Oryctolagus cuniculus: one gene and its partner. The protein of the gene in region 1 purifies or fractionates together with the protein of each later gene. This does not show direct contact. Links are inferred from orthologs where the notes say so. Each region holds a gene or a part of one and is shown in the gene's direction. Other genes may lie near its edges.

Evidence for each region. The genes of interacting proteins can lie anywhere in the genome.
Region 2: the proteins of MTMR4 (region 1) and DNAJC10 purify together in Homo sapiens (affinity purification with mass spectrometry; 3 studies listed by BioGRID and IntAct, counting the BioPlex papers as one, with this or other methods). This does not show direct contact. The link is inferred for Oryctolagus cuniculus from reciprocal best matches to the Homo sapiens genes MTMR4 and DNAJC10.

What each region holds. Positions count from the first base shown.
Region 1 is NC_091448.1:33,878,539-33,881,521, reverse strand, and holds part of MTMR4 (phosphatidylinositol-3,5-bisphosphate 3-phosphatase MTMR4), read left to right. Parts: intron 1-2,279; coding exon 2,280-2,390; intron 2,391-2,614; coding exon 2,615-2,703; intron 2,704-2,922; coding exon 2,923-2,983. UniProt on the Homo sapiens protein: Lipid phosphatase that specifically dephosphorylates the D-3 position of phosphatidylinositol 3-phosphate and phosphatidylinositol 3,5-bisphosphate, generating phosphatidylinositol and phosphatidylinositol 5-phosphate.
Region 2 is NC_091434.1:57,900,364-57,904,018, reverse strand, and holds part of DNAJC10 (dnaJ homolog subfamily C member 10), read left to right. Parts: intron 1-2,939; coding exon 2,940-3,067; intron 3,068-3,349; coding exon 3,350-3,466; intron 3,467-3,655. UniProt on the Homo sapiens protein: Endoplasmic reticulum disulfide reductase involved both in the correct folding of proteins and degradation of misfolded proteins.

The sequences.
Region 1 (2,983 bases):
TGCTGTCAGCCAGTGTTGCAACCACTCAGCATTCATTCATTAGGAACCTGCCATGTGCCACTGGGTTAGGTGCTTGGGCTATAGGATGCAAGATAAGTAAATGATTGGAAGGATATTCCTAGGTGGTAGGATTGAAGGGGGTATCAGGTATTGGGGGACTGGAATAGAATGAAAGGTCAAGGAAGGGTTTTTCCATGGAGATAATGCTGGAGTTGAGTGCTGAAAAAGTTTGTGAGGTAGACAGTGAAAAGGAAGCATGAAGATAATAGGTACCCTGAAAAAAAAGGGTGGTGTAAATGTGTATTGGCGTGCATAGACACTTGTGCTGGGACTATGAAGGAGAGTTGGGTAGTGTGGTAGGGGGTGACATCAGAGAAGTTGAAGGGGTTTGGAAAGGTCAGCTTGAATGCCCCTCTTGTTTAGATTTTATACTCAAGGCAATACAATTTTATACCAGTGAGTACCATCAGATTTATTTATATGTATAAATTAATTTGAAGGGCAGAGTGACACACATAGAGAGTTAGAAACAGAGAGAGGGGTCTTCCATCTTTTGGTTTACTTCCCACATGGCTGCAATGGCTGGGGTTGGGCCAGGCTGAAACCAGAAGCCAGGAACCACACGGGTGGCAGGAACTCAAGTAGTTGAACTGTTACCTGCTGCTTCCCAGGCACATTAGCAGAAGAAGAAGCAGTCAGGACTTGAACTAGTGCTCATATATGGGATGTGGGCATCACAAGGGGTAGCTTAACCCTTTGTTCCACAATACCAGCCCCAAATTTGTATTTTAAGGAGACTATAGGGGCTGGTACTGTGGTATAGCAGGTAAAGCCACTGCCTAGGTCTCTGGTATTCCATACGGGTGCTGGTTCAAGTCACAGCTGCTCCACTTCCGATCCAGCTCCCTGCTATTGCGCCTGGGAAAGCAGCAGAAGATGGCCCAAATAACCTCATGGGAGACCCAAAAGAAGTTCCTGGCTCCTGACTTTGGATTGTCCCAGATCTGGCCATTGCCACCATATGGGAAGTAAACCAGCAGATGGAAGATCTCTTTCTGTCTCCCTTTCTCCCTCTCATTCTGTAACTCTACCTCTCAAATAAATAAATCTTAAAGTAACAAAAACAAAAACTAGCAGTGTAGAAAATGGATGAGGCAGTTGAGAACCAGGTTGGAGGCTGGTTAGGACATTTTGGAATAAACAAAGTAAGAGATGATGAGGGGCATCTAGACTGCGCTGTGTTGGGTAGCCTCAAGTTCTGGCATCGCAGTCCTGGGGGAGCTTCTTGGAGCCATTTCCTCCCCATACTATCCTGCTGTTTACATAGCAAGAATGCCAGTTTGTCTTCTGTTAAGGCATTCTCACTTGCCTGTTGTCCACTTCTCTGCTGATGGAATGGAAAGGGCTAATAACTTCTTATATTTCAGGCAATGCATTGGCAAAGGTACAGATAATGAATAGTGTAGGTCTTAAAGGCCATACAGTGCCTCAGCTACTGTTACAGTGCAGAAGCAGCCATATATGATATGTAAATGAACGCTACTATGTTCCAGCAAAACTTGAGGTTAGGGGCTAGATTTGGCCTATGGGCCATAGTTGGCCAGCTCCTGGTTTAGAACTTAACAAAAGGGGCCAGCAAGGTGATGTAGTGGGTAAAGCTGCTGCTTGTGACACTGTCATCCTATAGGGGTGCTGGTTTGAGACCTGGCTGCTCCACTCCTAATCCAGCTCCCTGCTAACGCACCTGGGAAAGCAGTGGAAGATGGCCTAAGTGCTTGGGCCCCTGCATCCACGTGGGAGACCTGGATGAAGCACCTGGCTCCTGGCTTCAGCCTGGCCCAGCCCTGGCTGTTGCGGCCACTTGGGAAGTGAACAAACCAGTGGATGGAAGATCTTCTGCTCCCTGCCCCAGCTCCATAACACTGCCTTTCAAATAAATAATAAATAAATCTTAAAAGAAAAAAAAAACAAAACAACAAGAGAGACTTTCTACACTGTAGTATAGCTTTTTTTTTTTTTTGTAGTATAGCATATTAAGAACATGGAGCTGAAGCCAGAATATTAACTTCAAAGCCCACCTTTACTACTTAATAGCTCTTAGCTTTCTCTGCAGCTGGGTTTCTTTATTTATAACATGGGGACAATAGTAATATACATGCTGAGGCTATGGTGAGGTGTTATATCAGTTCATGCATGTAATGCCCTTAGAACAATATCTGACACGTCGTAAATGGTATTAGCAGTGATGAGGTTGATGGTGACGTCTGCCTTCTCTCTAGACGTGTTTGAAGGAGTCAGATGGTAGTGATACCGAAGATTTTGGCTCTGATCACAGTGAAGACTGCCTTTCAGAAGCAAGCTGGGAACCTGTTGATAAGAAAGAGACCGAGGTACTTCCAGGCAAATATGTGATGGGTACTTATGTGAGCTCAGAGATGAGTGACAGGCTGTAGACTGAGCTCTCCCCTAGATGAGTGTCATCTTTATAGGCAAGTAGAGGCCAGTTTGCAAAATCAGTCTTGTCATTTTTCCCCTGAGATGTTTTCCTTGTTGCGGTGTTGTGCTTCTACCTTGTTGACATGGACCTGGCATTTTTCCTTGTGCCTTCTATTAGGTGACTCGCTGGGTTCCAGATCATATGGCATCCCACTGCTATAACTGTGACTGTGAGTTCTGGTTGGCCAAACGAAGACACCACTGCAGGTGAGATATTTTTATGATTTAGTAAGATTCATAAAGCAGTGCTGTAGGTATGTACAGAACTGAAGTGCATTGACCTGAAAATAGAGACCTCTTCATGTGAGCTATCTTGTTTGCTCCCAACCCTTTTCTCCATTTAGTCATGGAAAGCTTTTGAGAGCCTCAGTCGTTCTTAGGAGACTGGCATTTCTGATGATCTCTTCCCTCTTTGTGCTTTGGCAGAAATTGTGGGAATGTATTTTGTGCTGAATGCTGCCACCTGAAGCTGCCCATTCCTGATCAA
Region 2 (3,655 bases), on another chromosome or scaffold:
TAATATGCCATTACCAACTTTATTACATGTGTTGTTTCTTTGGATTTAACTAGGTATTGAGCCTCTGTGTGTACAAAGTACAGTAATAGAGAATAGGAAAAAATGTTCAGTCTACTCCATCTCTACCCTAAAGAATAGTATGGATCAGGAGAGAAAGCACACAAGTAAATTGACAAATTTTGCAAATGTCTGATGTGGAGAATATTAGTTACCTTGCCAGGTTGTAATTACCCCCAAAATTCAGCAGCTTAAAAAACTTTATTAATTCTCATTAGTTTTTGTTGGCCAGTAGTCAGAACTGCTTAGCAGGATGGTTTTGAACTCAGGTTTTCACATGAGGTTATGGTCAAAATGAGGTCTGTGATCATCCAAAGCCTAGACTATGGTTACAGGATCTGGTTTCATGCTGACTCTTGGCTTGGTATAAGTTCGGAGTTCTTCGCTGGCTGTTGGCAGAGGCCTCAGTTCCTCACCACATGGGCCTCTAAATGGCATTGTTCACAGTATGGTTGCTGGCTTCTCCCAGAACAAATATTTGAAGAGAAAGAAGAAAAAAAAATAGATAGAAGCAACAATATCTTTTATAAGCTGTTCTTAAGACAAACCATCACATCCCCGTGTTCCATTAGTTGGCTTAACCAACCCTGGTACAATCTAGTGGTATGAATATTCAAGGAGATGTCACTGTCTTAGAAATGGATTACCGTAGAGATGAGCTTTGTTTGCTCTTAGGAGGAACGATATTCTGGGATTATAGCAAGTACATAGAGCAACTCTGTTGAGATTTGAAGTGGTGATTGCCCAAATGAAAAGGTGGCAAATACATTGAAGCACAGATGTATTCAGAGGCTCTGTACTGAGAGTCTTTTTGATTTTTTGTTTTTTTAAGATTTATTTATTTATTTGAAAGGCAGAGTTACAGAGAGAGAGGAGGAGAGGCAGGGAGAGAGGTCATTCATCTGCTGGTTCAGTCCCCAGTTGGCTGCAACAGCTGCAGCTGTGTTGATCCAGAGCCAGGAGCTTCCTTCGGGTCCCCCACGTGGTTGCAGGGGCCCAAGGACTTAGGCCATCTTCTGCATAGCAGAAAGCTGGATTGGAAGCGGAGCAGTCAGGACTCGAACCGGCACCCATACGGGATGCTGTCACTGCAGGCCACGGCTTTACCCACTGCGCCACAGCGCAGACCCCTGCTCTTTGATAATAACTTCAGAATTAATAATATGTTGAGGCTGGAGAGGGCATCAGAGGTCCAAATTATGTATTTAATTTGTCAGGTAAAGGCTTTGGACGTTTCCTAAAAGCAAAGCAGAGGTGTTATCTCACTGGTTGTTTGTTTATTTGTATCTACTTGAAAGGCAGAGCAACAGAGAAAGAAATTTTCCATGTGCTGGTTCATTCTCCAAATGCCTGCAATAGCTAGGACTGGGCCAGGCCAAAGCTAGAAGCCCTGGACTCCATTGTTGTCTCCCATGTGAGTGGCAGGGGCCCAAGTACTTGAACCATCAATTGCTACCTTCCAGGATGCATTAATAGGAGACTGCATCAGAAGCAGAGTATTCAGGACACAACTTTTCCAGAATATGGGAGGTAGATATCCCAAACAATGACTTACCCACTGTTCCACAACACCTGCCCATCTTCTTTTTACATTTTAGAAAGGTGAGCAGCTGCCTAGAATGAATGGGAGCAGAATTGGAAGAAGAGAGGCACAAGATGGATTCAATAATGTATATTAGAGAAGAAGATGGTTGCTTTAATGAAATGTTAATTAAAATGATTAAGAAGAGAGATGTTTTATAAATATAAAATCATTATAACTTAGATATTGCTAAAGAGAAAAACCCTGATAACACCCATGTTTCTGACTTGGTGAATCAGCAGTTAAATAATTGTACCATTCAGTGAGGAAGAGAACACTGGGTAAGGGGTGAGTATAGAGTAGACAAACCCACTTCACAGTTGAACAGGGACCTGGACCCAGGAGAGGAATGTGGGCTATAAATAATTACCCTGAGTGATAATGAAAACTGAGTATGAAAATTGTCTAATCAGAATAAGGGATGGTCAGAGATTAAGAAATTTGTGAAGCCAGTCAAGAAATAGCAGCTAAAGTGTTAGAAAAAATAATGTGATGTCATTTATCTGTCTATATGTTTTTGTGAAAATGTCTCTTCTTTTGGACCATTCGCTCTCTAAGAGAGGAAGTATGTCTTTAAACAAAATCTAGCACATAGTAGGGACTTGACTTTGACTATTGAGTGACTAAGTTAAAGGGCACTTGGCAGAATGAACTAGACTCTGAATAAGATACCATTTGTCAAAACAGCAGTGGGAAATGATCAAAGGTGTTTACACAAGGAAACAGTATGAGATTAATGTTTCTGTAAGTTGATTGTGCTAACCATGTAGAAAATGGAGTACTTAAGGAAGGCTAGGGACAGAAACACCAGCTTAGTTATTGCAGTAGGCCAGATTGAATTCATGCAGTAGCATGAGGTTGGACCTTAAGAGACAGAATGGATGGAGATGCGATACAAGGTCAAAAAAAAAAGTAAGAGCTCTCTGGGGACTTTTATTTAGGAACTGAGTGAATAATTATCTTATTGCCAAACAAACTGGGGAAGGTAAAAAAAAGGAGCAAGTTCCGTGGGGGGAATAACTCAGTTTTAATATGAATATACTGTGTTTGAAATATTGATATGATACCCAGGTATATCTATAAGGAATCGAACATGGTAAAGAATTGTTTATTCTACCTCTGGGGATGAGGAAATGTTTAAAAGAGGCATTGACATTTTTACTAGTCCTAAAAAACAGAGTGCAAAGACATAAAGTACAGACACTGAAACTACCCCAAGATCACTTAGTTCATATCTTTGAAATGTTTCTGTGAGTATAAAATGCAGAATGTGGTTTTAATTTTTCTTTTGATTTCAAAGGAAAGAAGATTCTATATGATATACTTGCGTTTGCCAAAGAAAGTGTTAATTCTCATGTTACTACACTTGGACCTCAGAATTTTCCTGCCAATGACAAAGAACCATGGCTTGTTGATTTTTTTGCCCCTGTAAGTTTTTTTTTTTTAATCAGTATTGTCAGATTTTCTGTTGCCATGTCAAAAAGACATTTTCTTGATAAGTGTCTTTAGTATTAGAAAGGTGTCAATGGGTTTTGACCACTATTGCATATTGCTTCTAAGTGAGAGTAAGTAGTAATTACCTTTCTCCAAGGATTAATAATATACCCATAGAGTTGTCGTGATGTATCATTTGTCTTTGTTTGTTTGTTTGAAAAATTACGGGTTTTTGTTTCATTTGGCTCAGTGCTTATAAATACTTTTCTTTTCTAGTGGTGTCCACCATGTCGAGCTTTACTGCCAGAGTTAAGAAAAGCATCAACTCTTCTTTATGGTCAGCTCAAGTTTGGTACACTAGATTGTACAATTCATGAGGGACTCTGTAACATGGTAAGACAAAGTATAAAAACTTTAATTAGATTTGTTTTGTGAAATAGAGGCCTATTAGCCATTTGATGTTGAAAAGGTAATGTTTGTTCAGATGTATCTCTTCCATTTAGAGTAATTCCAACAAAATATCATGATTTGATTAAATCATGACTGGTGTGAGAATGTAGGTAAGTTCTTAGCAAACTCAGG